Linked DNA regions of Mytilus edulis. The protein of the gene in region 1 purifies or fractionates together with the protein of each later gene. This does not show direct contact. Links are inferred from orthologs where the notes say so. Each region holds a gene or a part of one and is shown on either strand. Other genes may lie near its edges.

The links.
Region 2: the proteins of histone-lysine N-methyltransferase SETD1B-A-like (region 1) and CXXC-type zinc finger protein 1-like purify together in Homo sapiens (affinity purification with western blotting; 16 studies listed by BioGRID and IntAct, counting the BioPlex papers as one, with this or other methods). This does not show direct contact. The link is inferred for Mytilus edulis from reciprocal best matches to the Homo sapiens genes SETD1A and CXXC1.

The regions. Positions count from the first base shown.
Region 1 is NC_092349.1:14,257,659-14,261,595, reverse strand, and holds the start of histone-lysine N-methyltransferase SETD1B-A-like, read left to right. Parts: upstream 1-1,634; 5' UTR 1,635-1,828; coding exon 1,829-1,856; intron 1,857-1,991; coding exon 1,992-2,119; intron 2,120-2,784; coding exon 2,785-2,880; intron 2,881-3,937. Other genes in the region: glutamic acid-rich protein-like, read right to left, coding at 418-547, 1,261-1,318. UniProt on the Homo sapiens protein: Histone methyltransferase that catalyzes methyl group transfer from S-adenosyl-L-methionine to the epsilon-amino group of 'Lys-4' of histone H3 (H3K4) via a non-processive mechanism.
Region 2 is NC_092344.1:87,711,897-87,715,833, reverse strand, and holds the start of CXXC-type zinc finger protein 1-like, read right to left. Parts: upstream 3,007-3,937; 5' UTR 2,921-3,006; coding exon 2,885-2,920; intron 1-2,884. Other genes in the region: dynamin-1-like protein, read left to right, coding at 3,663-3,764. UniProt on the Homo sapiens protein: Transcriptional activator that exhibits a unique DNA binding specificity for CpG unmethylated motifs with a preference for CpGG.

The DNA.
Region 1 (3,937 bases):
TTGCAAAACTTTGTTTGGACCAATAAGAGAAATGTCAGAATATTGGTCTTCGGACTAGTAGTTGAAAAAGTTTTTGGTGCAGACTGTTTTTTAAAGGGGAAATAATTTCTCCTCTGAATTGTTTTAGATTTGTCATTTTCCGGCTTTTTTAAACTGAGTATGTGGTATGGGTTTTACTAATTGTTGAAGGCCTATGGTGACCTATAGTTGTTGATTTCTATGACATTTTTCTCTAATGGCAATCATACCACATCTTCTTATCACTAATATAGATATGTAACACCTATAATAAATAACATCCAACATGTCCAAGTTAAATTATTGACCATAAACTTTGAACTAATGTAATTTTATAAGACCCTAAAACTCTGCTCCTGGTTAACCTTTTTTTTTATGTAAACATAACCTTATACTTACTTGTCTAACTTTTTCACATATTTGTCAACATTCTTTAGAATTTCTGTCTTAATATCTTTCTTTGATACACTTTTTACTGCCTCTATAAATGTTCTTTTTAATTCCTCCTTGTCATAATCATCTCTGTATGCTAAAACGAAATTAGTCTTACTTTAAACTTGTTTAAATATAAGTTCAAGCTTGCATTTTGTGATTTAAAAAGGAAAGATCCAAACAAAATTTGTTTTGCATGGGTCTAAGAAACTTTGCAGTGTTAACACAGACATTTCAGCCAAAGTGGTCCATTTCAAGGCAATTAACTTTTGTTAAACAAAAAAATGTTTACAAATAATTTATATATATGGTTATATGAGGGGGGGATAGGACCTTTATCGGGACTACGGGATCAGGTGTTTTTAAGCTTGGGATTTCAGGATTGACCCTGTCGGGATCCTGGAATTCCTTTATAGAATTTCACGATGTTGGGATTTAAATTTATGTAAATTCAGGACCTCAGGATTTCATATTTTTAAGCCCGGGATTTCGGGATCAGGACCACTCCTATCCCCCCTCTTATATCAATTTGTGTATGAATTGGTATATTATGGGAATAAAGTTAAAGCTATCCTCTACTTCTAGTCACACATTTGACAATAAAAATATAATGTTGTTGCTGAGGTTCTTATCCAATAGGCAATACATGCAAACATATATCCAATATTTGAGCTGAGTAAGAAAATCAAATTTATACTATATAAAGATAACTTGGAGACCCTGGCCTTGAGAGGTAAAATTGACTACAAATTTGATGTGATCTGATTGTTCATGAAATGATTATTTGATGTATTGAAAATATAATTTCACCTTTCAACTCAATAGCCGTTTGTTTTGTGAACTTTGTGGCTTTTTTACTGATGTTCATTTTTATCTGTATTATGAGTGTATACTAAGAAATAATACACGTGCACTTTTCACATTAATAAGCCGAGTGAAGATGTTATCTGAATTTTGATTGGACAAAAGACAAACGGGGTATTCCGAAATATACCAATCAGATAAAAACGCTTAAGCTTTGAAGGATTCTCCTAAATATCAAAGGAACTACATGAACCTTTTCAAAATATTTAATAAATTCGTGTTTAATTGGATGATATACAAATAAAAATATCTTTTCTATACAAATTCCAAGCATAATATTTATACGAAAATATCTCGATTTTCAGATTTTACAACTCTGCCTTTCGGTGCATTGAATTGTGGGATAGAAAGGAATCTTTGATGCTTGTGTTTTAAGAATGAGCAAATTATTTCACTTAAATACGTTTACAAACAATACTTTTGTTTGTAGATGTGTTTTTATGTATCTTATTTAACCCAAGAATCAGTACAGAAGCATAGGAGTAGCCAGAATTGTCAATCAACGTGAAAAGACATGGATTTCGACAGAATGGAAAGCTCCAGTGAGGATATACAATGTTTACATTTGAAAATTTAATCGAATTTCAATGAATACATACTATTGTCATTCAATTTTGTGATTATCATGATATATTTTTGGTTCATGGCAAATTTATGTATTTAATTTCTATTTTCAGGCTTAAATGGGATGAAGGCAGGGATGGATGGAGACAAGAAACTTAGAAGAAATTACAAACTGCTTGTAGATCCTATGATAAGAGGAGGCTCCCAGAAAATCTACAGATTTGATGGGATAGATCCAACGGTAACATGTTATGATTTAAAGAACGAGAAGACTGTCAATTATAACTTTCTTTTCATGTGCATACTTGCACATATGTATACATGTATGCAGCTGAAAAGGAAATATACTTACTTCATGCATTTTTACAAATATGCATTGTCTTAGTACATGCACAAAATGTATGATGTATTTTTATCACAATTTCTGGATACACTCTTACATGGTCTAATTTTAAATGCAAATTGTAAAATTTGAAACCCACCGCTTGTTTAACATGTTTAAATGGTTATATTTTTTTACTTTCTGTCTGTACATGTACAAAATGTAGCTTCAACTATTACTGGTACATGCACTTATAGCATTTTATGTAAAAACATATTAAAAATGAAATATTATTATGTAAATTTGTGTAACATCGATATTGATGATGTAGCTGATTTTAAATTTCAAAGAATTCTGAATAGACTGTTTCATATCTGTAACACCAAAAAATCTTGCCATAGGCATGATAGATGTATGTTACATTGTAGACATCGGTAGAAAACCATAATCCTAGAAAAATTTACATAGATCCTGATTTGTTCAGATTAACATTTTTAGTGTATGAGAGATTTTGATAATTCTGAATATCATATGTATTAAAGACTATTAGAATAGTTATATCATTTAAGCTTTCCTTGTTATAGGACAGTCATCAAATCCACACTAGAGATCCAAGATCAAGGTTAACTCGAATGTGGACAAGAAGAATTCCTGCAGATTTACCTGTTCCAAGATTTACGGTAAAACTATGTAGTGTGTCTCAAAGTTCTCTCTAGAAATGGGTCATTACCCGAACTATGATAATTTTTACTAAGTGTAATAAATGTTTAACTGTTTCAATATGATCTGTACAGACGACCAATTTAATTTTTTTGTCTTAAAGGACTTTTTTGCTTTCCAATATAAATTATATAATTAGAAGATGTGGTACAATGTATGATTGCCAATGGCAATGAGGCAACTCTCCACCAGGGCTGAAGGCTGCAATGTTTCAGTTTCAGGGCCTTCAAAAAAAAAATTTGCAACATCATAGTGTATTGCACAAAAGCAAAAAATTGAACATGTTGAATATGAATTCGAACCATATATCCAATTTTAAGTTTTTTGACTACAGTTATTCAGTGTTCTAGGATTCCCATTACCCGTTACCCGGGGTAAGTGGATTAGGACAACGGGTAAGTCATTTTTTAGCCTTTGTCACCCGGTGGTAAGTCAATTTTCAAGTTCGGGGAAGCCGAAAAACTCTTGAAATTTCCCGGTCCTCTTCAATTTTCCCATACCTGCTTTTTATTTTTATTAAATCACGAGAAAAAACTTTGATAAAAGATCGAAGATTTTGTCGATGTCTATCGGCGCTTTTATTCAAGCACTCGTTTACTAGGTGTAATCAAGCGCAAAAGAGACCACATTCTTCTCCTATCATTCTAAAAGTTGGTCACGGTGTCGGTAAAATCGGAAAATCCGGATTGATAACTGGTGCTTAAATCGGGACATAAACGATTTTTTTTCTTGTCATCGGAGGAAAATAAACTTACAGTTGCATTTATTATAGCTCTTAATAAATGACATAGTAATAACTATAACATATTTGTCAAATTTAGTAAGAAATCGTTTTTGTTGCGCCGTCCGCATTGGTTGGCGGATTTAACTTTTAGATGTGGGTAAGTAATTTTTTTATTGATCTTACCCGTGGTAAGTCAAGGTGCCAAAAAAATCCTAGAACACTGTTATTCTGTGTCAGAAACCTTGTGTATAATGTGTCAAATTTTTGATTGCAATCCAAATTCAGACCTGTTT
Region 2 (3,937 bases), on another chromosome or scaffold:
TATATATATATTTTGCATAAGCTCACTTTTAAATGAATTATGACTTCTGATTAGTTTTGTAACGATAAAATACTGAATTATTTTAATTGAATAAAATTATAAATAAAAATAGCCTTCTAAACACGAGTGTATGAACTAAAAATTGTACTTTTTAAAATTAAAATCGCCAACCTTTAATATTTCAAACAGATTGCAATTATATGATTTAGTCCATCCAAAGCGATCTTTATTTACCTATTTAGGAATTAATATTCTCATCAAAATATTTTAAATCTCACAACCCATGCATGAATACTTCAGCTATTTGAAAAAAAAAGATGTTTTAAAAAATTGACAGGAAATTTAAGTTTCCTCTTGGAATGGAATCGACAAATTACGAATAGAAATTCTTTTCAAGTGTGAAAAACGTCAACCAAATTTATTCATAATCGGGAGCGTCCTTATTAAAATAGTCTTCTTCTCACAACGAATAATACTTTAGCTATTTGACCAACAATGTTTAAAAAAAAAGACAACGAATTTAATGTCATCTTAAGTTCCCTATTTTTGAATGTAATTATAAGTCTGTTCAACTGGCAAGAATACCCCTAAAGCGGACAAGCAGTTTATTCTTTAAATTGATGTCATTGAATTTGAAGAAAGAAAATAAATCCCGAAATCAATTTGAAACTTTAATACTCAAAAGTTTTCCTAGAAAATACTCACATCCCTTGGGGTTTATTAGTGTACGTCCAGTTGCATATGTTTTACATGAATGTCGGAACAATTGTGATGATGTCGAATTTCTTCCTTTCATTGGAGAACGATCTAATTGATATATAAATTTGTGATTTTACTATGTTCATAACTTCGATGAACCGAAGCAAGTTATTATATCGACCTGTATTTAAATCAAATTGGTCCTCTTCTTCTTCTTCTTCTTCTTTTGGTATACAATGGTCTATCGAATTCGATGATTACATACTGTTGGCATACGTGGAATAGTCTATTTACAAAACTGTTACCCCAATTTACACAAAATGTATGTTTCTTTCTTATGTTCAATGTATACATGTAATAATTTTAAATTGCGATATAGCTCCGTAACTTTCTATCCAGGCGTAGAAATGAATCGTCGACAAGTGCGTACATTTTTATTAAATCAATATTTCTGGTATGTTCCAATCTGTCCTTTACTATTGACAACGAGTATATATTACATTTTCCCAAATTAAACCTTGGAAAAAAAATGTAAATAGATTTTTATTTTATCAAATCTTTTTTTTTTGGTATTATTTGTATTTTTATAAATAATATTCTTTACACCAGTAATGTTATTTATAAACAAGCGTATGAGTTTAGTAATGGCTATAGTATATTATATCACTTTCGGACACGCAAGACAGAGATGTATATTATACACCTGATAGTTCAAAATGGAGAGTTATAAGTTATCGGCCGTGTACACTGATCAATACCTACAGAAGTGAAACGATGCATGAACTTGCAAGCCCGACAGGAAATCGTTTGAATACCTGGACGTGTCACCTCACACCCCTCACAATACCTTTGGGAGTAATACCTTTAGTCATGCTGGTGATCAGATGAGGGAATATCCGAATTTATTTGAATAAAATTTATTACTTTAAAGAATTATAAACGAATAAGATTTACGAAAACAGTTTTCACGGAAAACTTATTTATGATTTAAACTTTGACTTTTTAACTAATTCCAATATTAACAGTTTAAAAATAACAGACTATGGTTATTTAAAAAAAAATAAGAACATTTTCTGTATCAAGTTAGTTTGTCAGATAAAACAACCGTACGATTGACAAGATATCGACACGCAATTACGACTACATCGGTTAGTGTAGTTTTGGTCCTTTGTGGTTTATAGACATATCGTGATTTTTAATCGGGGAAGACGACAAAATGGCGGAACGCAGAGAGTTGATACTCTAAATTTAAAATCGATGGTGATCTCTTATCTAGCGGAATAAAACTTTAATATCTATAAATTTGAGCATTTCTATATATAGAATGGACATAATATCAATTTTTGATTTTTTTGCGAAGTTTCCCTTTAAATGACAAATTTTACCATTTTGTTTTTTGTGTTTTTGGACATTGGTAAAGATGCACATAGAGTTTAGAAATAAGAGGTTTAAAAATCCTGTTGTTCACATCATTACCTTCTTAATTGAATGGTTGAAACAGTGCCTCCTAATTTTGTCTGCAAAGATTTAGACTGAACTTCTTATTAATAATAACATAAAAATGTATGGCTAGATAATTTTTTGCAACCTCATATGAATGTGTAAAATGCATGTTTTTATTGGAAATGGTAACGCCTTAAAAGCATGAAAACCCATAAAAGAGGGAGGTTTGGAGGGCCCTAATCCCAAAATCCCAGGCTTAAAAACATGAAATCCTGCAGAAGAAAAAAAATCTTGACATTACGAAATTCTCAAAAACAAATCCTGGATCCCGATAACGGTCAATCCGAAAATCCCTAGCATAAAAACACCCCATCATGACGTCCCAAAAAAGATCATGCCCCCCTCCTCCTTTTCCCCTCATAAAAAAATAATTTTAAAAATGCAAAGGGGAGATAATCACTCAAAACATAATTGAGCTTGTAGGGTTATATCAAGAAATTATGAAAATCCATATCATTCTCAATGTTAAGTAGTCGGATTTGAAGGATAGACGAATTAACTAGTCAGTATCACAGCCATATCAAGCTATAATTTATAGCTATAGGTTTACTTGCAGTTTTAAAAAACCTGATAGTTTTTTTCTAAAGATCATATAAAACTTGTAAATTCATGTAAAAAAAACTACTGATACGGACTTTGTACTATTTTAAAAGTTACACCTGTCTCATATTATAAAACTTACAGACATTCCACTAGCACTGCCTTCAGATTCTGACATAATGAGAATATACTACAACAAAAATTAGTAAGCCAAATCTGTCAATGTGTAATACGTCATCCCTTTTGCTGTCTTGAGAAAGATTTTAGATTAAAATAAAAAATCAGAATCTTTTCGGTGAAAGATATATAAAACAGTCAGAATATAAATATTGTTGAAATTAGAAATTTTCATTAGTAATAAATGTTAATAATCTAATGTCACTGAATGTGTATATAAAATGTTTCGGGGTAATTTAAATCATTCTTTTATTCACCTTATAACCCGGAAGTGAAAAAGTGCCGGAGATAATTTTGGAGTTTATGCCCAAAGCGAAACAAGTCAAATGTCCCTGACTGCTGATTGACATTCAAATAGAAAGTAAACCTTTCAGCGATGGAAGGGCTGATCCCTGTTATCAACAAACTGCAAGATGTTTTTAACACTGTTGGTTCAGAGACAATTCAGCTTCCACAAATTGTTGTGATAGGCAATCAGGTGCATGTCCTTAAAATAATTTGTATTTATCTCTGATGTAATTTCTATGTAAACATCAAATAGAAAGTAAACCTTTCAGCGATGGAAGGGCTGATCCCTGTTATCAACAAACTGCAAGATGTTTTTAACACTGTTGGTTCAGAGACAATTCAGCTTCCACAAATTGCTGTGATAGGCAATCAGGTGCATGTCCTTAAAAATAATTTGTATTTATCTCTGATGTAATTTCTATGTAAACATCAAATAGAAAATAAACCTTTCAGCAATGGAAGGGCTGATCCCTGTTATCAACAAACTGCAAGATGTTTTTAACACTGTTGGTTCAGAGACAATTCAGCTTCCACAAATTGTTGTGATAGGCAATCAGGTGGACCGTGCATGGTATCGGGATCGTTCGCCCTGATTACATGTTCGCCCTAGGTTCGTTCGCACTGAGTTTGTTCGCCCTGATAGTCCGTTCGCCCTGGGTTCGTTCGCCCTATATTCATTTATGATATGTATATGTTACATCAATGAACGAAATATATATATATATATTAA